4 linked regions of the Stegostoma tigrinum genome follow. The protein of the gene in region 1 purifies or fractionates together with the protein of each later gene. This does not show direct contact. Links are inferred from orthologs where the notes say so. Each region holds a gene or a part of one and is shown on either strand. Other genes may lie near its edges.

Region 1 (7,091 bases):
TATTTTTCATGCTGCCTTGCTTTTTATGAATTTGTTCATTATCTTAAATCATTCGCTTCTAATTCGCACATACACTATTAACAGGTAAGTTTCTAAATGCTCTGTCCTGTGTCTACTCTTTCCCTTCCTGATTTTGAGCATTGCTACTGAATGTCTTCTCAATTTTCTCTCATGAAAATAGCCCCAATCTATCTTCTCCAATGTAACTTCTCCATGTAACTGAAGGTCCTCATTCCTGGAACTATGTTTATGGACCTTTCAAAACTCTCTCTATTGCCATCAAATGGTTCCTAAAATGTATTGCCCAGAATACACAATATTCAAATTGAGGGCAAATCAGAGTTTTATGACAGTTCATCAAAACTTCCCTATGTACTCTATACAGTCCAAGATCCTGTATACCTTTTCAAATTACTTTTTCAACCTGCCCTGCCACCCTCAATGACTTATAGATATATACGCAGTTCTGTTTCTGCTCCCCCTTACATTATACCCTTTATTTTCTGTGGCCTCTCCTCATTCTTCTTACTAAGATACTTTCCACTTGCCTGCAATAAATTTCATATTCCACATGTCTGTTCACTCCAATGTCCAATTTTGTGATATCTATAAATTTTGAAATTATGCTCTGTGCCCCCAACTATTCTAGTTATTAATACAGTCAAGAAAAGCAATGGTCCTAACAATGACTCTCCTAGAGAACCCACTGTGTAAGCTCCAATTCCACGATCATCTCACTAAGCCAACTTTGCACCCAAGCTGCTGCTGTTAACTATACTCCATGGCCTTCAACTCTGCTGACATGCCTATTTTGTAACACTTTACCAAACATATTAAAGTCAATGCATGCCATAGCAAATGCAATATTCTCTAACTATCCATCACCTCATCAAAATAATTTAAACATGATATGCCTTTAACATATCTCTGTTGATTTTAATTAATTAACTTTTTCAAGTTACTCAGTTTTTCAAAGATTATTATTTTTAAAAAGCTTCCCCAACACTGAGGTTAAAATGACTGGCCTGCAATTGCTGAGTTCATGCTTACAAGATTTTTCTACAAGAGTCAAACACTGGCATTTCTCCAGTGCCATGCCATCACCTCTGAAAGCAGTTTAGAAGATTATGACCTGCACTTCCACAAATTTTGGCCTGACTTCCCCCAGTATACTTGGATACATCTCCTCCAGTCTTGGTGACTTAGCAACTTTAAAGACCGCCAGGTTTTGTCAATTTTTGGCCCATTCATCATCTCACCCACCTCCATTTAGAAATATAAAAATACACAAAAATAGGAGCAAAGATAGGCCATTCAGCCCTTTGAGCCTGCTTTGCCATTCGTTATGACAAGATGGCTGATGACTTTCACAGAATTTTCTTCAGTAACGACCAGTGCAAAGTACTTACATAGCACCTCATGTCGATACATAAATCTCTCTTTTGGTCTCAAAATGGGAATAGTCTTGTTTTATCATCCTTTCACTATTTAAATAGTTTTGGGTGGTCTTTAACGATAGCTGCCAGTCTCTTCCCATTCCTTCTGTTTCCTTTTTCATTTCCCCTCTGACCTTTCCAAAGCAGCTGATTCTCACTTGTATTATCAACATGACATTTGTCACACATCTCTTCTACTGTTTTATATTCCTGCCTTCATCATTGTCAGGCTTTAATATGCCAACAAGCTTGTTGGCTGGTCTCCCAATTTATCCTTCACAAACTTTTTATCATCCAAAACTATGCTGCTCATTTCTTAACTGGCAGCAAGTCACTCCTGTGTTCATTGAAATTCAGTTGCTCCCAGTCAAGCAACATCTTAATTTTAACTTTTAAACATTTTGGGAAAGTGTCTAGTGATGATCATGATCCATCATCAGTTGTCAGACAAACCCATCTGGTTCACTAATGTCCTTGAGGGAAGGAAACTGACATCCTTATCTTGTCAGGCAGATGTGGTTGACTTCACTGCCCTCTGGGCAATTAGGGATGGGCAGTAAATGCTGGCCTAGCCAGCAACACACTCATCCTGTGATGAATTTTAAAAACCCTCATTTTCAAATCCTTCCAAGTCATTAGCCCTTCCACCTTTGTAATCTCTTTGACCAAGATTTTGATCATTTTACTTAATATTTCCTTACATAACTCTATGGTCATATTTAGTTTTAGAATACTCCTATGAGGCACTTTCAGACCTCATTATGGTAAAGATACTACACCAAGTAGACATCAATCTTTTCTCTATTTGATTAGACAGTATTTTGTTTATCCTATTATTCCATCAGAGGAATCTACTTCCAACAACTGTACCTCAAGTACATTATCTTCAACAGCTGCCCAGAGTTTAATCACAGTATATGATTCTAATTTATCCAGAACTGGCCCACCTCATTAAGTTTTTTTTATTTTGGTTTGTTCTTTGTCCTTTTCCATCGTTAATCTAATATTTACAATGTTACATTCACTAATTCCTTAAATAATCTCCTACTGACAGGACCCAACTTGTTCAAGGTGAGGTATTGGGAGTATTCATGGGTGTGTGGAAGGTGTCCCAGTAACCACCTCAGTAAGAGGGGAAAGACAGGAAACAGCTTGAGTATGGCAGGTAGGCTTGTTAGCGGGACAACCCCGGGGTCAGGTGTCAACAACAGGCCCAGGGATATAGCAGAATTTCCCGGTCAACCCCCTCCCCACTAATCAATAAGATTCGCTCCACTAGGCCTCGGGCTCCGTTCTACACCGAGATTCCAACTGTACAAAGGGCTATTCATCCTTATAAAGCCGTCACAGTGCAGTGAACACAGTCCACCCCGAACGCGAGAAGCCAACTGTCGCTGCAGTCAGGCGGCCCCTGGCCCCGATGGACATGGATTCCCGTCCACTCACATTCCGCTCTCGATCCGCTCTCGCTCGCCGCTGCCTGGGCCGCAAAACCGTCCCGCTCAACCCGCGTCACCCGTCGCACGCTGCGTCATGACACAAACATTTGCGATACTGGTGAGCACCACCGGGGGGAGTGAGAGAGCACGCTGCACTGTCGTTGGGTCGGGATATGCGCTGAACCCGGCGTAGGAGGGCACTCAGAGATAATGGAAACTGCAGATGCTGGAGAATCCAAGACAATAAAATGTGAGGCTGGATGAACACAGCAGGCCAAGCAGCATCTCAGGAGCACAAAAGCTGACGTTTCGGGCCTAGACCCTTCATCAGAGAGGGGGATGGGGTGAGGGTTCTGCAATAAATAGGGAGAGAGGGGGAGGCGGACCCAAGATGGAGAGAAAAGAAGATAGGTGGAGAGGAGAGTATAGGTGGGGAGGTAGGGAGGGGATAGGTCAGTCCAGGGAAGACGGACAGGTCAAGGAGGTGGGATGAGGTTAGTAGGTAGAAGATGGGGGTGCAGCTTGGGGTGGGAGGAAGGGATGGGTGAGAGGAAGAACAGGTTAGGGAGGCAGAGACAGGTTGGACTGGTTTTGGGATGCAGTGGGTGGAGGGGAAGAGCTGGGCTGGTTGTGTGGTGCAGTGGGGGGAGGGGACGAACTGGGCTGGTTTAGGGATGCGGTGGGGGAAGGGGAGATTTTGAAGCAGGTGAAGTCCACATTGATACCATTGGGCTGCAGGGTTCCCAGGCGGAATATGAGTTGCTGTTCCTGCAACTTTCGGGTGGCATCATTGTGGCAGTGCAGGAGGCCCATGATGGACATGTCATCAAGAGAATGGGAGGGGGAGTGGAAATGGTTTGCGACTGGGAGGTGCAGTTGTTTGTTGCGAACTGAGCGGAGGTGTTCTGCAAAGCGGTCTCCAAGCCTCCGCTTGGTTTCCCCAATGTAGAGGAAGCCACACCGGGTACAGTGGATGCAGTATACCACATTGGCAGATGTGCAGGTGAACCTCTGCTTAATGTGGAATGTCATCTTGGGGCCTGGGATAGGGATGAGGGAGGAGGTGTGGGGGCAAGTGTAGCATTTCCTGCGGTTGCAGGGGAAGGTGCCGGGTGTGGTGGGGTTGGAGGTCAGGGTGGAGCGAACAAGGGAGTCACGGAGAGAGTGGTCTCTCCGGAAAGCAGACAGGGGTGGGGATGGAAAAATGTAGGAGGGCACGCTCCTGATTGTCTTCCAAAAATGTTGTGAAATCCATCCCAGAGGGCAAACGAGGGTCTCAATTTAATCTTTTTTTAAAGAAAACGGAAGACCTGCAGTTGGTGTAAATCAGAAACTTGCAAAGATTTGTAGCTCGGGCTGGGAGCTTGCCCAGTGTATGTACACGTTTTGTCACCGTGCTAGGTAACATATCAGTTCCTTCAATCAAGCGGTGTTGTTCTACTCCATTTGGTATCTCACACAAGATCATCATTGAATCCCTACAGTGTGGAAGCTGGCCATTCAGCCCAACAAATCCATACCACCCCTCCAAAGAGCATTCCCACCCAGACCCATTCCCCGATCCCTGCATTTTTCATATCTAACCCACGTAACCTAAACATGCCAGGGCATGATAAGGAATGTAACATGGCCAATACACCTCCCCTGCACATCTTTGGACAGTGGGAGGAAACCGGAGCACCTGGAGGAAACCCACACAGACACAGGGAGAATGTACAAACTCCACAAACTCAGTCACCCAAGGCTGGAATCAAACCCAGGTCCCTGGTGTTCAGAGGCAGCAGTGCTAACCACTGAGCCACTGTACCATCCAGTCTATTAAGTTGGGTTGTGTTATTTCTGGCTCTGTTCTGCGTGGGTTTGTATATGGGGTCTAATTCCACATGTTTGTTAATTGCTTTAAGGGTAAAATACTTGGTCCCTCGGAATTCCCGTGCATGTCTGCGGTTGGCTTGAACCAGGATGGTCACCTCACTCCATCCACTCAACCCTTTACCTCAAGAACATTAAAATCAATGATGACGGGATTATGGTATCCTTTGATGTCACAGCACTATTCATGTCCATTGACGTACCACATTACTGGATACAGCAGGAACACTGAACTTCAAACAGCTCCTTCAGCAAGGACAACATACTCAGACCGCTGGACCTATGCGTCACCACACACTTGATCTTTAATGGCCAAATATACAAACAAATCAATTGTAAACCTGTGGGGTCGCCCATCTCAGGACTTATTGCAGGGGCAGTCAATACAAGGTCTGGAACACACTAACCCCCACTCCTGCCGCCTGACAGTCAAAACTGTGGACCAGATACATGGACGACACGTTTGTCATCATTAAACGCACCAAGTTAGAAGCGACACACGATCTCATTAACAACATTTTCACTGGGATCAAATTTACAGGAGAAGAGGAAGACAACAATCAATTTCCATTTCTCGACATGAGGGTAGAACAAGTGACCAATGGGGAGTTCCAAACCACAGTATACAGGAAGGCAGCCCACACTGACCAAATCCTCAATTTCCACAGCAATCACCCCAAACAAATCTAGGACACTATTCAAATGGGCCACGAACCAATGCAACATGCCAGAACTACGCAGGAAGTAGGAACAGCGCCTATACAAGGTCTTTTGCTAACAACAGATATTCCAACAACTTCACCCACAGGTGCCCACTAGATTGGCAGTGCCAAGAGGACACAATACACCCCAATACACTGGCCACACTACTCTATATCAAGAAGATGTAAGAACTGCTGAGACTCCTATGACCACTAGGAATCACGGTAGCAATCACTTGACCCAAAACATTAACTGTGATTTCTTGTGATCAATTTAACTGGGACAACATGGCCATCCTAGCTCAAGCCAACCACAGGCATGCACAGGAATTCCTAGAGGCCTGTTTTTCAACCCGTAATGCAATTAACAAACTTATGGAATTAGACCCCATATACAAGTCCATGCAGAACAAAACCGGAAATGACACAACCCACCTCAACAGACCAAATTATATAAATACCCAGCAGGGTAGAACAACATCGCTTCATCGCAGGCCACATTGTTGATGTTACCTAGCATGGTCACGAAATGTCTGTATCATAGCCAACCAGCTCCGCAAGCAAGTCACCAACCTCAAAAACAAAAATTGCTGGAAAAGCTCAGCAGGTCTGGCAGCAGCTGTTGAACAGAAATCGGAGTTCTTAGGAAGGGTCACTTGACCCAAAACATTAACTGTGATTTCTCTCCACAGGTGCTGCCAGACCTCCAGAGCTTTTCCAGCAATTTCTGTTTTTGTTTTTGGGTATCAATTTAAAGTTTCCCCTGAAAATATCACTTCCAACAGTATAGCACCACCTTCAGGACTGCACAGAGTGTCAATCCAAATTATGTGCCCGAGACATTGGGCTTGAACACTTATGGTATTACAGAAATGGCATATTTGTTGTGAAAAATACAAGCAAGCCTTTGAATTGGGGGATTTTTGGAAACCATCAAATGACGATCAAAACGCAATGAGAAAATATTTGGCTTGTAAAAGTCTCAAGGAAGCAAATTCATTCTCAAGAGGAATGACGGATTGAATAAATATTTTGTCTAACTTACCTTCAGAACACTCAAATTATACCTCAAAGCTAGAGATTAACCAAGGAGCTAATAAGAATCAGACATTTTGAATAATTCATGTTTGCAGCAGAAATTATTAAAGAAATTTGAGGAATTAAAACTTGACAAATCTCCAGAACCTGATGGCTTACATTTGTGGGGAGCTAGGGTGGCTGCAGAGATAGCAGATGCCCTAGTTTTGATTTTAAAGTCCTGTAGATTCCACAAGGTCTCAGTGGTTTGAGTTAACAGATTAGTAAATGTAACACTGCTATTCAAGAAAGGAGGGAAGAGAAAATAAGAATTACAAGCCCAACATAAATTGTCATGAATATGGTAGAATTTATTGTTGAGGACATCTTAACAATGCACTTTGATATACTTTGATTCCCCAAACTGTATTCAATAAGGTGCATCACAAATGATCATTTAAATGCTAAGGATTAATGGAGTTGGCATGAATACATTACCATGAATAGAAAATTTGCTAATAGACAGAAAACAAATATAGAAATAAACAGCTGTAACCACAGGAATGGCACAAGGAACAGATAAGGGTTTCAACTATTTATAATCTATATTGATCATAGAAAGAGAG
Region 2 (7,809 bases), on another chromosome or scaffold:
GCAAGGTCAAAATTGTCAAGCATTGCTTAGAACGCTCAAAAACCTAATGCGGCATGTTTCCTCTTCTATAAAACTAACATTCTCATATCCAACAAGATGGCCTTTAACTTCATTTAATTTGACAGTTGTATTACAGTCTTTTAGAACACCATAATTAACTGACATAATTAGCAGTCTTTTAGAAATCACATGATGATAACAAGTGAACTAATGATCCAATTGGCATTGTGGGTCAATCTGCAGCATGTGGACTGCAGCAATGGCTTAAGATGATTCGTCTGGTTGTTCATGTTCACTTGTTCAGAATTAAGTGATCTGTTGTGCATAGGTTCCTCAATGCAATAACCAGCTCTGCATTGTAAAGACTCCGCAGTTCATCAAGATGAAATTTGACACTCTGCCATTTCACTGTCATTTTTCACTCACGCCTGTCTCAACTTCTGCTTTCAAAAGATTTTCACAATTGTAAGAGGAATTTGGTGCGACGTGATATTAGTCTTTGTGCTGGACTACTTTCCATGCCTCCTCTAAGCACATTGTCCATTCAAAGATTACCTTGTGCAAGTCTGTGCTGGATTTCTCAATTTCTTCAGTTTTAGATTTGATTCGCTAGAGTGTGGAAACAGGCCCTTCGGCCCAACAAGTCCACACTGACCCTTGAAGCATCCCACCCACACCCAAACCCTAAAACCCACACACCCCTGAACACTATGGGCAATTTAGCATGGCCAATCAACCTAGCCTGCACATCTTTGGACTGTGGGATGAAACTGGAGCACCTGAGGAAACCCATGCAATCACGGGGAGAACATGCAAACTCTACACAGACAGTCGCCCTGGACTGGGATCGAACCCTGGTCCCTGGTGCTGTGAGGCTGCAGTGCTAACTACTGAGCCACCGTGCCACCTATATTCCTTTGGCGATTTTCACTGCTACCTGGCCTTTCCATTTGAGTGGGAACGGCGTAGTGATGTTGTATGGTGTTAAATTGACCTATCCTTTGTGAAGTGCCTGAAGTCTCCCCTTGGAAATTGAGGGCCATTGCCACGTATCACAATATCTGGAATGCTGTAACAACTAAAGAATGCTTTCAGGTATTGTATAATCTTAATATTAGTTGTTAATTTCAGTCAATATAAATCCCAGTAGAGTAATTAATGGTGACAAGATAAAAAGACAAGCCCCTGTGAGAGTGGAGGAGCCTACTACAAGCTTCATCCATGATCAGGCTGGGATGTGATATGACCAGCTTTTGACATCCAGTGATGTTACCATCACTGAATCCCCCATTATCAACTTTGAAGGGGTTACAATTAACCAGAAACTCAACTGGGAATTGCCACATAAAAGCCTGTCCACCATCAACAAGGCACAAGTCAGGAGTGTGATGGAATACTCACCACTTACCTGGATGAGTGCAGCTCTAACAACACTCAAGAAGCTTGACAACATCCAGGGCAAAGCAGCTGCTTGATTGGCACCATTTCAACAAGCTTCCACTCCCTCCACCACCCATGTTCAGCAGCAACAGTGTGTACTGCTTACAAGATGCACAGCAGATTATTCACCAAAGATTGTTAGTCAGCACCTTCCACACCTACTATAATTTTGATCTAGATGAACAAGGGTAGCACCACTTAATGCATGTTCCCCTCCAAGACACTCTCCGTCCTGACTTGGAAATATCTTGGTGTTCATTTAGTGTTCATGTGTCAAAGTTCTGTAATCTCCTCCCTAATGGCATTGTGGGTCAACCTGCAGCATGTGGACTACAGCGGTTCAAGAAGGCAGATCACCACCACCTTCTCAAGGGCAAGTAGGAATGGGCAAGAAAACTGGCCAGCCAGCGATGCCCAATTCATGTGAGTTATTTTTAAAAAAACCATAAAACCATCAGAAATAGGAACAGGGATAGGCCATTTGACTCCTTGAGCCTGGTCTGCCATGCAATCGGATCATGCTGATCCAATATGCCTCACATCCAATTTTGTCCTTTTTCCATGATCCTTGATTCCCTTGGTGATCAAGAATCTATCAACCTCAATCTGAAATATACACAGAACTCTGCCATACAGCTCTCTGTAAAAAAATTCCAAAGAATTTTTGCCCACTTTCTTAACCATCAATATTTCTCTGTAAACTGTTTGTATCCTTTCTGGAATCTGTCTTTCTACCTATTTCCGTGTTGTCTGCAAACTTGGCTGCAGAACATTCACTTACTTCCTCCAAGTCGTTAATATTTATTATGAACAGTTGCAGTCCCAGTACTCATCCTTGTAGAACCCTATGACCGACAGCCATACTAGTATGAAAACACCCAATCTTGTCTGATCTCGGAAGCCAGGCAGACCCAGGCCTGGTTAGTACTTGAATGGGAGAGCACCTGGGAATACCAGGTGCTGTACCCAGATCCTGGGGCAGGTTAGGCAGAGACAAGCACAAGAATTCCTAGAAGTATGGCACTCCAAAAGCCTGCTATTAATAAACACATTGAACTCAACCCCATTTCCATTCCACTACGAAGGAAAAACCAGAAGTGAGGTAATCCATCGCAACGGACCCCAGAGTTTAAAAACTAGGTGGGGAAACACACCGACGCTTAATTGGAGGCTGCACTGAAGATGTTAACCAGCACAGTAATGAAACATCTGCAAAACAAGAAACCAGCTGGGCGAGCCATCCAACCTCAACAACCTCAATTACACACACTCATGTTGCTTCAATCTTGCAGGAAGTTTGTCATGGTTGTCAGCAGCCCTCAATCAAGTGAAGGGTGACAGCCTTCAGTCAGAGGCTACCAAAATAGTAAATCAAGGAAAATCTCCAACACCAGTCCAAGGACATAGCACGGTCAGCCACCTGGAGCAAAGTCAGCATCCTTTCCTCATTGGGGGTAAGCACCTGACTGCTGGCCAGTCCACCACCAGTCTTGACCATTTCTTTTCCATTGTAGACTGTTTTTCTCCTGGAATGAGAGAGAGGCAGGTACTAAGGCAGATGAAGCTGGGTGGCACACTTACATTTTTTACTTGTGGGGAGATGTCCTGGTCGAGGGAGTAGACAGCACCGAGGGCATGCAGGCATAGAGATGCTGGGGTTTAGTGGGATGATAGCGAGTGAGGGAAGATGTTGCAGGCCTTTGTGGGAGGTGGGTACAATAGCTGGGACTGAGCGAGTGTGAGATTTGGAAAGAAGATGGTTGCACTGACTCTGGCAGGCAGGAGAAGGACATTGACTATACATTCCCGCAGACAGCTGATACTGCTTTAACCGGGCGGCAATTTTAACTGGGCGGCAATATTGGACCAGGCTGCTTGTTCTGGGACCATGCTGTCCTCTCCTGGAGAAGTGGAAATACCAGCTTTACATCTCTCTTTCCAATGCAATCTCCCAAGTCTTTGCTTGCAAAGTGAGGGACCGGTTTCCCCTATAACAAATTGTGAAGCTGGATGAACACAGCAGGTCAAGCAGCATCTCAGGAGCACAAAATCTGATGTTTCAGGCCTAGACCCTTCATCAGAGCAAGTCTAGCAGACTCTAGGCCCGAAACATCAGCTTTTGTGCTCCTGAGATGCTGCTTGGCCTGCTGTGTTCATCCAGCTTCACACTTTGTTATCTTGGATTCTCCAGCATCTGCAGTTCCCATTATCACTGGTTTCCGCTTGTCTGTTATGCCAGGGACGAATATCAGGAACTGTGCACACCAGCTCTAGGTGCCTGTCTGGGTGCACAATGGACTTTCGAAGATGGAGTAGGTGCAAGGGATTTTGGTTAATTTCAGGACATCCCATGGGTGGCTGAAACAACATGTGGCATGATGGAAGTGAAATTGAGCACAATTTTTTTCACCGTGTTGGGGGCTGGAGGGGATGATGGTGGTCAATGAGTTGAGTTTGGTAAGATACCCACTATCTTTGTGATGAAAAGCTCTCTAAGAACACATAAAACTCATATTTAGCCAAACAAATTTAAGATTCAGCTCTATATTTCAAATGATGCTGATTCAAATGACTGCCACAGATTGTGTGTAAGGACACTTTCAGTGGAAGTAGTGATCACATGATATTGTCAGCCCACCCTCTACACCAAGGTTACAAATGTATTTCTGCAAAAGGACTTATTTATGAGGATGGCAATGTACCAGCAACATGTGGCCTGTACTATGACGTTCAAGTCCACCCTAAAGTTAAGGTTTGGGCCTCATTCATCTTCATGTGAAAAGCTGATGGCAGCCGCTGTGTCTCCTCATAATGGTCATCCATTTTGGAAGAAGTCTAATTTTGGCTCATTTGCCTCACCAGTTGCAGACCAAAGCCAAGGAGTAAAAGAAAGATGTTTGGGGATTGGGGAGTGGTTATCCATAAAGTGGAATTAGTTGGTCAGGTTCGGTTAGAGATGTTGCGGCCCCGTGTATCGTTTAGACTACACGGGTTAAGTCTCTTGTAAGACGAGTCATTGCAAAGATTTGAAAAAAAATGCATATGCTCCAGAGTGAAATTTGTTATCAAGACTGCTCAAAGACGTATAAATGCGTGACACAAGACTGAAGTGGATCATATTATTAAATGGAAATTTTATGAGATTCAAGCCACTCAGGCAGCACGTGTTTGAATTTAACTTGTTGTTCTGTTGCTACAGTATTTGTGAGTGAGTGCTCAGACAGAACAGCAAATCAACGTCTGGTTCCGTCTCCCGGGCTGCGAGGCTTCGGCTGTTTCCGCAACAGGGGCTGCGAGCGCTCGGCTATTTCCGCCATGCGGCCTGTGCGGCCTCGGCTGTACCCGTGTACCGGAAGCTCCTTGAAGAACGAACGGGTAAACCGGAAGTGGGTGATCCGGCAGCCCCTCCACAGACAGACAAGATGGACGCGGGGTTTTTCCGCGTAAGTAGAGCAGCAACCGAGTAGAGCTTGTTTGTCGAGCCCGATTGGAAAGCTCATCCATTGTAGTGGTGGCCGGAACAATTCAAAGGACCGGCGGACCTGTTCTGGTTGTTTTAAATGCATAAAACTCGGGTCTTTTCCCTGAATACACGTAACTGCGGATTCGGCCTTAGCAACCGAGCGGGAATGAAAATGGCGGCGGGTGGCAGGCTTTTGATGGAGGGGAGGGAGGCAAGGGAGCCGTACTGTGGGTTTGGTTTTTGTCTCTCCAGCTCATCTGTTCGTCTAATTTAATTCATTGCACCTTGAGTGTAGCTAGGGAGCAACATGTCTCATTTTAGTTCTGGACGAAACCCGGGCAATTTTATTTTCCTTGAGGGATCGGTTCTAATGCGGCAGCCAGTGGAGCCGAAGCCCAGCAAAGTGCCTGACCGACTCTTAACACAAATCTTAACTCCGTGGTTCGAATCTTAATCCGGTTCCTCCCTGTTGTTTTTTGGAGCTCTTCTGGCTTTTGCACCGAATGTTTCAAACGGTATTTTTGTTTCTGAGGCGCAATTGAATGACTCCATTAGGGCCTGGTTCTCCAGCATGGTCGCAAATAGAGCGTCGTGTGGTTCGAGGCTGAAAAATGGACCCAAGCTATCTACCACGCGAGGGGAAATACAGTCACCTTTAAACAATCAAAGTACTCGTTCGTTTTAGATATAATAGACATCCAAGCGAATTCATGACTCGATTAATTTCAAAGCAGATATAATCCGAAGTAACACTTCAAATATTTTATTTGGAATTAGAGATAAAATTGCTTTAATGTAGAACAGATTATCGGGTGAGCGAGTTACAGTTTGTGCTGGATTCTAGATTTGTGTTTTTTGTTTAAAAATTCAAACTAGATTCAGTAGTAAAACGTCTTTAACTTGCTGCAGTATTGTATTGTTTCCCTTTATTCTGACCAGAACATTGTATGATTGGAAAGTCCAGATTTGTATGGTACATATCAGACATTTAAGTGTTAATACAAATTGTAAGTAATGAAAATGGAGCAAGTTGCAATTTATTTTTGGAACTGTTTGACACTCAAAAACTTGTTCATCCCTTCAGTGCGTTGCTTTTATCATGCTATCTGACGTTTTGGTTGACAGTTTTTGCTTTTTGGTGACACATAGTAAAAGCTGGTTTCTTCTATTTTGGCCATTTCAGAAAATCTAGTGCTTAGCTTATCATTAATTTGTTGCAAAATAATCTTTTTTAAGAAATGAAAAATAATCACAGAAACAAGTTTGGCAGTAGCAGAGAGTAAATTTATTTCAGATCTATGATCTTTCATCAGAGGTAGGGGGAATGTGATAGGTTTTTTAAAAGTGAAGTGGGGGGAGATTGATGAAAGGCTAGATCTGATAGCCTAATCTATCCCACCTCCTACCCTATTTAATGGGATGTGGGTATTGCTATGAGGCCAACATTTATTTCCCATCTCTCATTTCTCTTGAGCTGAGTGACTTGCTGGGCTGTTTCAGTAGCTAGGAATCAACCACGTTGGCCAGACCAGGTAAGGATGTTGATTTTTAATGGCAATTGATACTTTTATGATTGCCAGTGCTGAAACTAGTTCTGTATTTCAGATTTGAATGCACTTTTGCTGGATACTAACTGATTTTTGGATTACTTTATCCATTAAAATTAATGACAGCACTGTATCTTTTTAAATGACAAAAATGATCTTGCAACAAAACTAATGGGATTGATAACGGAGTAAATAAAAACAAAATGTGCCTTGGGGCGATGTGATTGGTAGGATCATAAAATCCAAAAGAGAGCCAAGATAAATTAGAAACAAACCTGCAAGGGGAAAGAACAGGACCAGAGGTTATGATCTAAAGCCCCTAATTAAAGCATAAGATGATGATCCTTGAGCTAGTCTTGGAATGCATCAGATGACTGACAGTGGCAAAAATCAACGGGAATAATTTGTAGATTTAAAATGATCAGTGACTGGAAGCTTAGGGCCATGTTTTTGGACTGACTGTAGAAAGTTGTGCAAAGGGCCTGCTTGATTTACATTTGGTTTCAGTATGAAAAATTATCCACATTGTCAGTGGAATAATTAATTGAAATTTCAAGTAAATTGATATTTCACCTGGAAGCATTGTTTGGGGGTTTTGAAGATTACAATTGAGTTAGAGAAGGGTAGGTATTTTATTATGCATGAGGGTTGTGGAGGTGACTGAGTAGTAGGTCTCTAAGTTGCAGAGGACATAATCCTTTTCTATTTATTTGTGAGATGTGAGCATCACTGGCTAACCAGATTTATTGACCATCCCTAGTTTCCCTTGTAAAGGAGGTGGTTAGTTGTAGCCTTGAACTGCTGCAGTCGCTTGCTGCGCGTTGACCCACACCACCCTTGGGACAGAATTCCAGGAGTTTGACCCAACAAAAGATATATTTCCAACTCAGGATGGTGAGTGACTTGGGGAACCTGTTGATGTTCCTGTGGGTCTGCTGCCCATTTCCTTCTAAATGGAAGAGGTTGTAAGTTTGGAAAGTACTGTCTGAGGATCTTCAGTGAATTTCTGCACTGCATCTTGTAGATAGTACACATGGCTGCTAATGATTGTCAGTGGTGGAGGGAGTTGATGTTTGTGGATGTGGTGCCAATCAAGTGAACTGCTTGTGTGTTGTCAGAGCTGCGCCCATCAGTCAAAAGGAAAGCATTCCATTACATTCCTGACATGATTTGAGGTGTCTGGCAAGTAACTCACCTCCTTAGAATTCCAAGCTTCTGACCTCCCCTTGTAGCTACTGTTTATGCGGTGACTTCAGTTGAGTTTCTGGTCACTGGTAACCACCCAGATGTTGATAGTGAAGGATTCACAATGTCAAGGGGTGGTGGTTACATTGTTTGTTATTGGCGATGATAATTGCC
Region 3 (6,892 bases), on another chromosome or scaffold:
AGGAGGTTGAACTTTGTACAGGCACTGGTAGGACCAGATCTAGAAGTTTTGGCGTCCTTATTTAAGGAACGATGTAACCACATTAATAGCACAGCAGAAGTAGTCCAGCTGGTTGATTCTGGGATAAAGGAAGAGTCTTATGGTGAAAGATTGGCACGTACACATTGAACCTTAAGAATTAGAGCTGATCTCATTGAAAAAGAAACTGGAAATATTTTGCTTGAGTTATAGAGTGTTTGTGAGGCCACACTTGAAGTACTGTACACAGTTCGGATTTAAGAAAGGATGTACACGTTCAGCGAAGGTTCATTTGACAGCTGAATGGCGATTGGGGATTAACTGTTTCTCATGAGAAAAGGTTGAGGCTTTACCTACTGGACACGAGAACAAATTACTGAAATGTACGAGATCCTGAGGGGACCTGATAGGGTGGACATTAAAAGGATATTTTATTTTTTAGGAGAGACTAGAACTAGGAACACAGTTTAAAACTAAAAAGGGTCTCATTTAAGACGTAGGAGGATTTTTTTTTAAAACGAGGGTTGCCTGCCTTTAGAATTATTTCAGAGAGCAGAGGATACAGGATGACTGACCACTTTTAGGGCCAAGATAGACAGATTCTTAATTAGGGAGTTAATTGTCATAAAGGTGGTGTGGATGTGGAGTTGAGCTCATGATCAAATTATTCAATGGCAAATGAAAAATTATTCAATGTTATAGGCATTAAAAGGCACAATCCTGCTCTTAATTCACGTGTATATGTACGTCCGATGAAAACATAAAAAATTTGAGGTAATGGTTCCTCTTGTTGTAGAGACTTGAATTAGGGGATATAGTTTAAAATACAATGTTGCCTACTTAAGAATGAGAATTTTCATTTTTCTTGGTAGGCCATTACTCCGTGCAATTCTCTTCCACAGAGAACAGTGGAAGCTGGATCATTGACAACATTCAAAATCAAGTTAAATACAATTTGATCGACAAAGGAATCAAGGGTTATATGGTAAACAAGAAAGTGGAAATGAAATTATCATCTGATGAACCATTGCCTTATTGAACATCAGAGCAGGTTTAAGGAGGCGAATGGCCTAGTCCTAAAACACCTCCCAGAATCAACTCTTATATTGGCTTATGTCAGGTAAGGAAACAACTGGATACAGCGACATTCACCACTTCTGGATTATAACATTAAATCCCACATATGGGGGACAGGTCAAATTGCTCAACATTACCTTGCAAACTTTAATAAGTTCATTAACGTTTGTTCAGGACTTGAGGGCATCTTGAAAAATATAGTGAAACAAATTCACCCAACATCTTTCAGACATCATCTGGGCTCAGGGTTTCGGTATCTGAAACTAATCCTCATTTAAGCTGCAATATGTTCCATTTTTTAACTGCTTGGTGGCTTCACAGCTTGCAGCTCCTTGTTGCAAAGTGCAGCCACAAGGAAATATAGGATAGGACGAGGTGTTGCTTTATCACACTGTTGAATATTGTGTTATTTTCTTTAAGAAGACAAACTACCCATCTGACATTTTTGCATAAATCAGGGTTTTCAACAAGAGGTTGGTTCTGGGATAGCAGGACTGACGTATGAGGACAGATTAACTAGGTTAGGATTGTTTGCCGTGGAGTTCAGGCAAAGTTGGGGGGGGGGTGGTGTCTCATAGAGACATAAAATCACAACAACACTAGACAAGAGTTGATGCAGGGAGGATGTTCCCAATGGTGACTGTGTACAGAACCAGGGATCACAGTCTGAGGATTCATGGTAGGCCATTTAGGGCAGAGATGAGGAGACATTTTTTCACACAGAGTGATGATCCTGTGGGATTCATTACCACAGGAAGTAATTGATGCCAGAACATTGAATGTATTCAAAAGGTAGCTAGATAGAACAAACAAAAACAGAAGAGATAGTGGGGACTGTCGACGCTGGAGAGTCTGAGGTAACAAGGTGTAGAGCTAGATGAATACAGCAGGTCAAGCAGCATCAGAGGAGCAGAAAAGCTGACGTTTCGGATCTAGACCCTTCTACAGAAAACTGAAACGTCAGCTTTCCTGCTCCTCTGATGCAAAGTGGCCTGCTGTATTCATCCAGCTCTACACCTTGTTATCTCAAACAAAATCAGAAATTGCTGGAAAAGCTCAGCAGGTCTGGTAGGATCTGTGAAGAAAAAAAATCAGAGTTAATGTTTTGAGTCCGGTGGAACTCAGAATGGTCATCGGACCCGAAACGTGAACTCTCATTTTTTTCCTTCACAGATGCTGCCAGATCTGCTAAGCTTTTCCAGCAACTCCAAGATAGAAAGAACTGCCAATGCTGGAGTCAGAGATAACACTGTGTGGAGGTGATGTTTCCTGCTTTGCTGCTCCACTGATGCTGCCGGGCCTGCTGTGTTCCTCCAGCTCCACAGTTATCTTTCCCAGCATCTCATCAGTTTTTCTTCCTCATTTACAGCATCCGCAGTTCTCTGGGTTTTTATTTGGCTAGATATAGCACTTGGGGCGAATTGGATCAAAGTTTATGGGGAGAAAGCAGGATTAGGCTATTGCGTTGGACGATCATCCACGATCGTGAAGGATGGCAAAGCAGGCTCGAAGGGCCTCCTTCTGCTCCTATGTTTATATAAAATTTAAATGGTAGCAGAATTGAACTAGTATATATAAGAAACAAAACAGACTCTAAGGTACCGTTTCAGGGCCTGTGTGAACAGTTACGGCGATCAGCCTCAATCCTTAAATTAGGCACCTTGGTGCGTCGCGGTTGGCGTGTTTACTTACAGGCAGCACCACGGAGGAAAAGCAGAAGATGCAGAATTAAACTCACCCTCTGCCCAAACCCGGCACGTAACCGAGAGGCGCAGGCATGCCCAGAAACGGCTTCTTTTTCTTGTTAAGGGTCCCGGTGAGGGTTGGACCCCCCGAGCTCACCCCACTCGGTGCAGCAGCTGTACCAGTGCCAGGAGCAACCGAAGATGCTGCTACCGCCGCCGCCATCTTGCAAGCAGGAATTAGTCCCATAAGCCTTTACGGCAGGAGCGCGGCAGGAGCACGTGATCATCTTATTAACATATCGGGACTCCTCGTTTACGTCTTATTTACATACCTGAGCAGCTCTCTGACATTGGACCTGGAAGACAGCAGCAAATGCAGCTACCAGATTATTGCAGTGACCAACTCCTTGAAATATTGGCCTCCAAACTGAGTTTTCCCAACTCAAACCAATCACCATGAAGCAACTAGGATAGCTTCTCACCAGAGGAAAAGCAATAAATTTAAAAACTGAAGAGTGAAACTCAGAGAAGTACTGATTGCATGTAGAAACCATGTCTGAAGTCTTTCAGCTGAAGGGAGGTAATTCAGTTGTCAGACTCTCAAAAAGATGTGAATACCAGTTTTGTGTAACAGAGGTTGTTTAGGGATAGAGTCAAAGTTTAATGTTTTGTTTGGAGATAACAAGAACTGTAGATGCTGGAGTCAGACGCAACACAAAGTTAAAACTGAAATGAGATGACATTTCTTCAGCCAGAGTGGTGGGCTTGTGAAATTCATTGTCACGGAGTGCAGTGGAGGCTGGGATGCTGGATGCCTTCAAGGCAGAGATCGACAAATTCTTGATCTCAGAAGGAATCAAGGGCTATGGGGAGAGTGCAGGGAAGTGGAGTTGAAATGCCCATCAGCCATGATTTAAATGGTGGGGTGGACTTGGTGGGCCGAATGGCCTTACTTCCACTCCTATGTCTTATGGTCTAATTTGGAGCTGGAGGAACACTGCAGGCCAGGCAGCATCAGAGGAACAGGAAAGTTGACATTTAGGGTCAGGACCCTTCTTCAGAAAGTATTTTGTTTGATTAGATTAGATTGCTTGCTTGATATGCAACTGTGCAGAACCAAACTACTTTTATGAATATTTTTGAAATAAAAACAAGATAGCATACAACAGTAAGTTTCTGTCAGGCAGCAAGTCAGAATCCACGGGGAAGGTGTCATCACCCTCATCTCAAAGTCGAAGGGAGGATGGGTAGAAATTAGATATTGGTAACCAGTCATGTCAGGATGACTCTGGGATCAGTGATTCACCCGGACAAAACTTGTGCTATACTGGGCAGGACAATTTCTGACAGCCTCATGCTCCTCAGGCATATGATCACCTACAAGCAGAACAGGGGTCCTGCCTCATCAGCCCGGACCAGGAAAAGGACTTTGACACGATGCGGGATGTTCTCTCTAAATGGGCTTTGGGAAGAAAATCCGAATTGGATCTAATGGCTCTACACCAACATCAATACTGCAGACTCAAACAATCGGTGGGAATCAGAAAGTTTTCCAATCAGATCTAGAGTCAGTCAAGGCTGCTTGTTCTCTCCTGCCTTGTTTCTGTGTTGTAGAGAGCCTTTTGCCGTGTCCAGTGGTTAGTACTGCTGTTTCACAGCACCAGGGACCAGGGTTTAGTTCCACCCTTCGGCGACCGAATGGAGTTTGCATATTCTCCCTGTGTCTGCATAGGTTTCCTCTGGGTGCTCTGGTTTCCAACCACAGTCCAAAGATGTGCAGGTTAGGTCGATTGGCTATGCTAAATTGCCCATAGTGTCTAAGTAGAGTAGCCATGGGAAATTCATGGTTACAGGGATAGCATAGCTGGGTGAGTCATAGAGACAAAGAGCTGTACAGCATGGAAATAGACCCTTCAGTCCAACTTATCTATGCTGACCAGATGTCCTAAATTAATCTAGTCCCATTTGCTGGCATATCCTTCTAAACCCTTACTATTCGTATGGCCATCTAGATGCCTTTTAAATGCTGTAATTGTACCTGCCCCCACCACTTCTTCTTGCAGCTTGTTCCACATGTGCATCACCCTCTGTGAGAAAGTTGCCCCTTAGGTACTTTTTAAATCTTTCTGCTCTCACTTTAAACCTATGCCGCCTAGTTTTGGACCCCCATCCCAGGGAAAAGACCTTGCCTATTCACCCAATCCATGCTACAAATGATTTTTAAAACTCTATTAGGTCACTCCTCAGCCTCCAACGCTCCAGGGAAAATAGTCTCAATCTATTCAGCAAATCTCAATAGTTCAAACACTCCAACCTGTGCAACATCCTAAGGAATCTTTACTGAACCTGTTCAAGTTTCACAGCATCCTTCCTATAACAGGAGGAACAGAACTGAATGCAGTATTCCAAAAGTGGCCTAAGCAATGTCCTGTATAGCTGCAGCATGTCCACCCAGCTCCTATATTCAATGCATTGACTAATAAAGACAAGCATACCAGATGCCTTCTTCATTATCTTGTCTACCTGTTACTTTACTTTCAAGGAACAATGAACCTGCACTCTAAGGTCTCTTTGTTCAACAACTCTCCCCAGGGCCTCATTATTAAGCCTTGCCCTGATTTGCCTTTCCAAAATGCAACTTTTATCTCAATTAAACTCAATCTGCCACTCCTTGGCCTGTTGGCTCATCTTATCAAGGCTCTTTGTACTCTGGCATAATCTTCTTCGCTGTTGGCTACACTAAATTTTGATGTCATCTGCAAACTTACAAACCATACTTTCTATGTCCACATCCAAATCATTTATATAATCAACATAAAGTGATGGAAACATCACTGATCCTTGTGGCACACAGCTGGTCACAGGTGTCCAATCTGAAAAGCAACCCTCCACCACCACTCTCTGTCTCCTACCTTCAAGGTGCTTTTGTATCCAAAAGGCTAGTTGTCCCTGTATTCAATGTGATCTAACCTTTCCAACCAGCCTACCATGAGGAACCTTGTCAAACACCTACTGAAGTCCGCTCTGCGTTCATCAATCCTCTTTGTTACTTCTTCAAAAAACTCAGTCAAGTTCATGAGACATGATTTCCCAAACACAAAGCCATTTGACTATCCCTAATCAGTCCTTGCCTTTCCAAGTCCATGGAAATCCTGTCCTCATAATCCCTTCCAATGACTTGCCCACCGTTGATGTCAGTATCACCACTTTATAGTTCCCTGGCTCTTCCTTATCACCTTCTTTAAATGGTGGCACCATGTTAGCCAACCTCCAGTCTTCTGGCACCTCACCTGTGGCTATTGATGGTACAAATATCTCAGCTTAGGCCCAGCAAACACTTACCTAGCTTTCCACAGAGGTTTTGAGTATGCTTGATCAGGTCCCAGGGATTTATCTACCTTTTTACATTTTAAGACATCCAGCACTTTCTCCTCAGTAACATGGACATTTTTCAAGATATCACGTTTTATTTCCCCAAGTTCCCTACCTTTTTTGTCATGTCCTTCACCACAGTAAACCCTGATGCAAAACACACTGTTTCTTCAATTGCTACTGTTCAGAACCAAATTGCTTCAGTGACTATAAATGTGTATAAAGGTATTTTCTGAATATTATATTTGAAACAAAAAAATGTAAAGTCAAATGTGGATCCATTCAGTTATGGGTCCTCCTGGTGCATCAAACGTATATAAATTGTATTTGCAAAAGTAAGAAATGCCTTTGGCCTTTTTGAAACTGTCAGGAGAGTCAAACCTCCAATGTTTGTTTGTTCTCAATATGCTGAGATTATACAGAATCGAACTGCTCCAGGAACTACATATGTATAAAAAGATTTTTATGAATAAAGTATATTTTTGAAAGACAAAAGAAGATATGTAAAGACTGTACAGAACTACTTTAGGCCTCTATTTAACTTTGGCAGAAAGGTCTTAGATGGTGGTCTTTCCCCACTGTGCCTTGGCAGCAGCTGCTCTAAGCTTCAGTGCATGCCTCAGCATGTAATCCTGACCGTTGTAACATACCAGTCTATAACACACAGTTGGAGTCAACTCCTTGCTCTGGAAAACCAGCAAGTTTCAGGCAGACCAAAGAGCGTCTTTTACTGAGTTGAT
Region 4 (7,906 bases), on another chromosome or scaffold:
ATGTGAGTGTCATGCCTAAGGCCAGCAGTAATTGCCCATCCCTAGATCTCTTCAAGATTCTTGAACCACTGCAATCCATGTGGCATAGGCACTCACAATTGCAGGGTGAAATTCTGCAAGCAACATAAACAGGCCATTCTCTCCCGTGCCTGAAATGCTCAAGTATTGTTTAATTAATTCCTGAGGATACTTCACTCAGACAACGATCTGTTGACTTGATTACTATGGATTACAACATTACCACTCCCCTGAAATCCATATTAAAAGAAGTAGACTTTAGGATACAAACTTAATTTACAGAAGTAGCACTGACGTATTCATATTTCTTTCCTTACAGAATTACATGGAATTTAGAGCATAGAGATGGGACATTTTGCCAACTGACGTCTATCTACTGTCTCTACTTTATCCAACACACTTCAATTCTGTCTCTTATATCAGTTATTTGTCTCATCTTCATTAGGAGAGAGATTCACATTCTAACTAACTTATGCATTTAAAAAAATGATTAGTTACTTAGAAGACACTTGTTAGTAACATTCTTATATTATGTCCTGTCGTTTTACAACCCCTCAGAAGTGGAAACATTTATACAGATACAGATGCAGAACTGATTTCGAAACAATATTAAAATAAAGTCACAAACACAGGTTCTTCTGGTGGTTCAATGGGCAAAATAAAACAGATAAAGAAAGACCCAGGTTCAGTTCTCCATCTGTACTGGGGCTGATTGCAGTCTCAGTCCAGTCACTGCATTTGGTGAGAGAAAAGCCAGCCAGGGAGAAGGAAGGATCACAGTGAGTATGTAACTGTGGCGTTCTACTGCATTTCCCAGCCAACATGGGGAACAGGTGAACCAAGAACTTTCCAGAAGGAATAGGTAGATTGTAAAATCACTAGCTAAACCACTACACCACAGTCAGACTTTTTATTCAAAACAAAATCAATTCTTCAAATCCAAACCATCCACCACATATTACTGGGTGAATCCACTTAAACAAGGGCTAGCATTTATAAGGTAGCTCCTGAGCTATCCAAATGGAAACCACAAGTTCTGCCTTCTAACTCCAAATGTACTACTGGCAATGCTCCACCACCCCACAATGAAGGATCCTCAGATGCTCTGCATCAGCATCACTGGAACTGGAGGAGGCCATTCTGTCCCTCAAAACAGTTCCATTATCTACTGAGATAACACAGTCTCCACATACTTGTATTGGCTCATAACCCTCAATATCCTTACCTAGCAAAAATTCATTGACGTTTTATAAAAAAAAAATTGGGTTCACCACTTTGGCATCAAGATGGACATTTGTAGCTTCAGGAACTTTTATTGCCTCTTTATAAACCAGACGGTATCAGGACGCTAAACATGAGCTTCTCCACACACATACATACATACACTCAGTCATAAGCTTGTTTGAAAACGTAACATTACACTAAATGCTGTAATCCCAAAGTGAAATCATCAAATTACGGGAATTACTGGACCCAAAACACAAAACAAATTATAAACCATAACCCACAATTGTGCAAAACTAACACATGCGGCCCCCAAAATAACTAAATACTCGCTTAAATCATTGCCCTGCCTCCTTAAACTCGTGGATTTGTTTGGAAGGGAGATTTTGATGCCCATGAGCATTCTTAAACAATTATTGTGATAGATAAAACCTCAAGCTCGGTCGAGCTAGGCCGCAGAAGCCTCGGATTTGCCTGAGTAGAGAGCTCGACCTGAAGGGACAGTTGCTGGAATCCGGAGATTGCACCCAAAGAGGGGAGGACAATTTTTTTAAAAAATGAGACGACTCCGATAAAGTCAGTTTTATTAATAATAGACGACGATTTTTCCTTTCCACTGGTTTGTAATAAACTTAGTCAGAAATCAAGTCAAATGAGACGAAAAACAAAAAAGACGAAAATCTAGAGAGAAAGCAATCCACCACTGACAATGAGAGATTTAAATATTAATAATTATTATTTATAATTTTAAAATGGAAACTAAATAAAACCACCCCTCTTTGGACCCGAGGGGAAAAAAATGTACACGAGCCCGAAATAATTAAGCCTAAAAGTAGCTCTAAATATTCCAATAAATAAACCCTGCTTTAAAAAAAACTGATCGAAGTAAAATTATTAATTTTGCTTCTTTATTGAAACCCAACTCCTCCCTCCGCCCTAAACTGGATCTTAAACAAGACGAAAAAAATGCATTTCTGCTTTCCATTTTTATTAATGAAAACAATCTAAGTCATTAAAACATTGTTCAGCAACAATATATTTACTTGTCATTCATTATTAGATGAGGTTCCCTCCTAAAAGATCTCCTGTAAATGTAATAGGCCTCCAGCTCCAAACCCTCCCTCCAAAAAGGCTAGATTGATCCTTAAAAATTAAACTGAAAATCATTTTTAAAAGCTTGTTTTCTCTTGCAAAATGCACAATCTTAAATTAAGGTCTAAAAGAAAAAGAATATTAAACGTTTGCGCATCTTAAACCATCACTCTCTCAAGTTCCAGCTCCCCGTATCAAAGTACATTATCCTCTTTAAGATGCATGAATAAATAAATTATAATCATTCCAATAATTAAGACAGATTTGATCTTACTCACGGTGTGGTTGACTCCCCACATCAGGACACTGAGTAGGGGCTCACTGGCCCTGAAGAGCTTCACTTTTTGAGCCACAAAGTGTTTCTTCTTGGTTTTTGTCTTGCTGGCACTAGCAGTACAGTTGGCTGCCATTTTTGTAAAACAAAATTAATCCCCCCCCTCAAAAAACCAAATGCAAGAAGAAAAAGGACCTTAATATTTTCCTTTTGCACCTCCCCTTGCTTCTGGTATTTGTTAATTGTTAGCCTTTAAATTCCTAGGCTTGACGGCACATTGCAAACGTGAGACCAAAATGTCATGGTACCTCCTCATGAGTGGACGAGTGAGAACTAAAAACCCTATGAATGTCTCTTGTTTGTCTGTCTCGGTGTCTCTCTCGCCTTCTTTCTCCAAGCAATAAGGCTGCTCCCCCTGCTGCTATAAGACGTGTCTACAACCCAATGAACACAACTGTTCTTCCACACAGTGGAAGACACTGCCACCTACCAGTACCGGACGACAGTAAGATATGGGAGCAGAATTAGCCCATTCAGCCCATCGGGTTTGCTCTGACATTTGATCATGGCTGATGTTTCTTGACCTCATTCTCCTGCCTTCTGCTCGTATCCCTTGATCACCTTAGTAGTCAAGGATCTACCTATCTCTAGCTTAATACACTCACTGACTTGGCCTCTACAGCTGAAATAACTACACAGAGATTGGTATCTTATCACTAAGTCACCCTTTATTTACATGTGCACAATACATGGGTTGTAACTAGTCAACTCAAAGCTAGTCTGTAGACTGAGTAGACCCTCTGAATCTCCTGTTAATATCCGTCAGCCAGGACTCCCTGATTAACTCAGGTTAACAACCTCAACCAAAGGATCTCATAGTCAATGGGATCCACCTGGCCCTGGTTCTAATCACTACAACAGCCCTCAGTGGCAATGAGTTCTAAAGAGTCACTGTAGCGATTGTAATGAGCTAAACCAGCTGGAGATCATGGAATTATCTACCAATGTGGTATACTGCATCCACTGTACCCGGTGCGGCTTCCTCTACATTGGGGAAACCAAGCGGAGGCTTGGGGACCGCTTTGCAGAACACCTCCGCTCAGTTCGCAAAAAACAACTGCACCTCCCAGTCGCAAACCATTTCCACTCCCCCTCCCATTCTCTTGATGACATGTCCATCATGGGCCTCCTGCACTGCCACAATGATGCCACCCGAAGGTTGCAGGAACAGCAACTCATATTCCGCCTGGGAACCCTGCAGCCATATGGTATCAATGTGGACTTCACCAGTTTCAAAATCTCCCCTTCCCCTACTGCATCCCTCAACCAGCCCAGTTCGTCCCCTCCCCCCACTGCACCACACAACCAGCCCAGCTCTTCCCCCCCACCCACTGCATCCCAAAACCAGTCCAACCGGTCTCTGCCTCCCTAACCGGTTCTTCCTCTCACCCATCCCTTCCTCCCACCCCAAGCCGCACCCCCCGCTACCTACTAACCTCATCCCACCTCCTTGACCTGTCCGTCTTCCCTGGACTGACCTATCCCCTCCCTACCTCCCCACCTACACTCTCTCCACCTATCTTCTTTACTCTCCATCTTCGGTCCGCCTCCCCCTCTCTCCCTATTTATTCCAGTTCCCTCCCCCCATCCCCCTCTCTGATGAAGGGTCTAGGCCCGAAACGTCAGCTTTTGTGCTCCTGAGATGCTGCTTGGCCTGCTGTGTTCATCCAGCCTCACATTTTATTATCCTGGACATCATGGAATATTAGTTCCATGATTGGGGCTGTTAATCTAGTCCGATCAGGGAGCCCTGGCTGACACAAAAATGTTGGGTGTCAGGGATACTGACACTTGTGCCTGACTCTGGATGAGGCAATACTATTAAGGGCTGTTTCAGAGATAGTAGGAACTGCAGAATCTGAGATAACAAAGTGAAGAGCTGGATGAACACAGCAGGCCAAGCAGCATCAGACGAGCAGGAAGGTTGACGTTTCAGACCTAGGCCCTTCTTCAGAAAATCTGCTTGGCCTGCTTTGTTCATCCAGCTCTATGCACTATTAAGGACTGTTCGGATGTAAATAAAGGGTGACTTGGTAATGGGCTACCAGCTTCTGGGAGTTATTTCAGTTACCATCCTCTGGCTGAAGAAATTCATCTTCATCTCAGTTCTAAAAGGTTGTCCCTTCACCCTTAGGCTGTGCCCTGAGTCCTAGCCTCTCCTACTACTGATTTCTGAATAGACATGAAACCTTTCAATCATTCAGAAAGTTGTCTATTCACGGCACCCTCCCACCCTTCCATCCCCCAGCCAGTTGCACAGGCTTGGGCACATAACCTTATGTGGTACTTTAGTACAGTCCTGAGTGTGTGCTGGACTGCTGCAACCCTCTGCTTCAGGTTAAGTGCAGTCTTCATCCACATTGTTAGATAGACATAAAAGATGGTGTGATGCTATTCAAAGAAGAACAGGAAAGTCACCTGTGTCCTTGTCAATATTTCTCCTGTGGAGCTGAGGAAGTCACATTTTGTCAAAGCTTTTCATCTTGTATTTATCAGGATGCTTCGCAAGATTACCAATTCAAGGTGAAAGCCATTATTTGTACTGCATGAGAGGAGAGTGCTGATTGGTTGGCATGTGAACTCAGATTGGTAGAGAGTTGCCACATGGAATACACCCTCTAATGATGTTTGACAGTTAACAGCAGCCTTTATTTATATTTTAAACCAAGCAGGTTGACTCTGATTAGTCAGGGCATTGTCCTGAGAAATGAAGCAGCAAATAGCTATGAGCTATTTGTAGTGTGGAAACAGGGACAGTACATGTACATATTATTTTCTGTCTACAAAGAACAGGGCCTGTGGATTAATATATGCAGCTGCCAATATATGCCAGTGCACCATATTGTGAGCCTGACTGACAAATCTAAATTGCTTGTCAGCATTATTTGTGACATTAAGGGTTATCCACCAAATGGTGTCCTCTTGCAGGATCACATCTAATGTTATTATTTGTGCAATTACGTGTTGATTAAGTGTGCAGCCAGTATCTTACTTGTTGGGAACAACTAAAGAGATACCCTGCATGATATGATCTGCCAGTCCATGGATGTATCACCTACATACTGGCATCCATCTGGCCCTGAAATCCTATACCAAATTACTGATTTGCATGATAGGCAGAATGTGTTCTAATAGAGTCATAGAGATGTACAGCACAAAAACAAACACTTCAGTCCAACTCATCCGTGTTGACTAGATATCCTAAATTAATCTAGTCCCATTTTCCAGCATTTGGTCCATATCCCTCTAAACCCTTTCTATTCATATACCCATCCAGACACCTTTTAATTGTTGTAATTGTGCCAGCCTCCACGACTTCTTCTGATAGCTCTTTCCATACACATAACACCTTTGTGTGAAAAAGTTGCCCCTTAAGTCCCTTTTAAATCTATCCCCTCTGGCTTTGGACTCCCCAACAAAGACTTTGTGTATTTACCCTATCTATGTCATTCATATACTTATAAACCCCTATAAAGTCACCCGTCAGCCTCCGACACTCCAGGGGAAATAGGTTCAGTCTATTCAGCCTCTCCCTATAGCTCAAACTAAAGCTTTTGGCTTTATGACTGCAAATGAAAGAGCCAGTTTCTCCCATTGCTCAAACATTTTAACACCTTATCTTTCCACAGGTAGACTGGTCACTTTTCAATATTAGAGCATTTCGTTGTATGATACACAGCAAGAAATGATCTGAAACAAAAACAAAAATTGCTAATGAAACTAAACAGTCTGGCAACATCAGTGGAGAGGAAGCAGAGTCAAAATTTCAACAGAATGAGAGGCAGAATAGGCAAGGGCTATTTTCTCTGGAGTGTTGGTGGCTGAGGGGTGATGTTATCGAGGTTTATAGTATCGTGAGGGGCGTGAATTGGGTAAATAGACAAGGTCTCTTCCCCAGGGTGGTGGAGTTGAAATCTAGAGGGCACAGGTTTAATGTGAGAGGGGAAAGATTTAAAAGGGAGCCGAGGGGCAACTTTTTCACACATAGGGTGGTGCATATATTGACTGAGCTGCCAGTGGAAGCGGAGGAAGCTGGTGTAATTACAACATTTAAAAGGCATCTGGATGTGTATATGAATAAGTAGGGTTTGAAGGGATATGGCCCAAGTGCTGGCAAATGGGACTAGATTTATCTAGGGTATCTTGGGGGCATGGATGAGTTGGACCAAAGCATCTGTTTCCATGCTATACGTCCCTATGACTCTGGCAGAGTCACCGGACACAAAACATTGATTCTGCTTTCTCTTCACAGATATTGCCAGACCTTCTGAGTTTCTCCAGCTACTTCTGTTTTTACCTCAGGTTTCCAACATCTGCAGTTCTTTGCTTTTTGTTAAGAAATGACTTAATCAAGATAGCCATTATCCAAGGTATACAGTTTGAAAACGCTGAATTAGCTGGAGACCACTTTGGCATTTCCCTACAGCAATGCAAGTCTGACTTTCTTTCTTATAATTCAGTCCTCTGTCAGGAAATATCAGTCTTCCTTCTGTGACTCAATGATTAAAATTTGACAGAACGCTCAAAATGCATTCCAATCGGAGCATCATGTGATTTCCACATAGCGTTCTTCTGGTCTGCTTTGTGAACCATATCCAAAATAGAACTTCCAATGAGATATGCATTTGCAACTGTTTGGAAACCATTTGTCAAAACATTCGGTGGAATAAAATAAAATTGTATGACTCATCAGAAAGATGCAAATTTCTTGAGCTCATTCTGATATCTCTGAGAAACAATCAGCAGCGCTTCATATATGATGAATGACTTTTAAACTGCATGATTTGCTATGCATACATCCCCAACAGTGCAGCATTCCCTTATTGTTGCACTGGACCGTTAACTTGGTTCTCTGTTATCTCTGGATATCTTAAAGTGGGACTTGAACCCATACTGCTGTGACTCAGAAACGAGAGAACAACTAACTGAACCACAGTGATATGCAGGAACATAAAAAGTATAAGCAGAAGTAGGTCATGCTGTCCCTGAGGCTTGCTTGACAATTCAATAACATCAGAAGAACTAGGAGCAGAATAGGGGAGGTGATGGCCCAGTGGTATTATTGCTGGGCTTTTAATCCAGAGACCAAGGTGGATAGAGAAGTTTGAATTCAATAAAACAGAAAATCTGGAATTGAGAGTCTAACGATGACCATGAATCCATTGTCAATTGTCAGAAAAGCCCATCTGGTTCACTAATGTCCTTTAGGGAAGGAAACTGCCATCTTTATCTAGTCTG

Evidence for each region.
Region 2: the proteins of rnps1 (region 1) and srrm1 purify together in Homo sapiens (co-immunoprecipitation; 4 studies listed by BioGRID and IntAct, with this or other methods). This does not show direct contact. The link is inferred for Stegostoma tigrinum from reciprocal best matches to the Homo sapiens genes RNPS1 and SRRM1.
Region 3: the proteins of rnps1 (region 1) and prpf6 purify together in Homo sapiens (co-immunoprecipitation; 3 studies listed by BioGRID and IntAct, with this or other methods). This does not show direct contact. The link is inferred for Stegostoma tigrinum from reciprocal best matches to the Homo sapiens genes RNPS1 and PRPF6.
Region 4: the proteins of rnps1 (region 1) and phosphatidylinositol 5-phosphate 4-kinase type-2 beta purify together in Homo sapiens (co-immunoprecipitation; 3 studies listed by BioGRID and IntAct, with this or other methods). This does not show direct contact. The link is inferred for Stegostoma tigrinum from reciprocal best matches to the Homo sapiens genes RNPS1 and PIP4K2B.

Annotation. Positions count from the first base shown.
Region 1 is NC_081376.1:32,312,538-32,319,628, forward strand, and holds the start of rnps1 (RNA-binding protein with serine-rich domain 1), read right to left. Parts: upstream 3,018-7,091; 5' UTR 2,885-3,017; coding exon 2,883-2,884; intron 1-2,882. UniProt on the Homo sapiens protein: Part of pre- and post-splicing multiprotein mRNP complexes. Auxiliary component of the splicing-dependent multiprotein exon junction complex (EJC) deposited at splice junction on mRNAs.
Region 2 is NC_081377.1:23,968,270-23,976,078, forward strand, and holds the start of srrm1 (serine/arginine repetitive matrix protein 1), read left to right. Parts: upstream 1-4,795; 5' UTR 4,796-4,862; coding exon 4,863-4,883; intron 4,884-7,809. UniProt on the Homo sapiens protein: Part of pre- and post-splicing multiprotein mRNP complexes. As a component of the minor spliceosome, involved in the splicing of U12-type introns in pre-mRNAs. Involved in numerous pre-mRNA processing events.
Region 3 is NC_081372.1:31,363,117-31,370,008, reverse strand, and holds the start of prpf6 (pre-mRNA-processing factor 6), read right to left. Parts: upstream 3,004-6,892; coding exon 2,834-3,003; intron 1-2,833. UniProt on the Homo sapiens protein: Involved in pre-mRNA splicing as component of the U4/U6-U5 tri-snRNP complex, one of the building blocks of the spliceosome.
Region 4 is NC_081384.1:7,308,568-7,316,473, forward strand, and holds the start of phosphatidylinositol 5-phosphate 4-kinase type-2 beta, read right to left. Parts: upstream 3,011-7,906; 5' UTR 2,745-3,010; coding exon 2,613-2,744; intron 1-2,612. UniProt on the Homo sapiens protein: Participates in the biosynthesis of phosphatidylinositol 4,5-bisphosphate. Preferentially utilizes GTP, rather than ATP, for PI(5)P phosphorylation and its activity reflects changes in direct proportion to the physiological GTP concentration.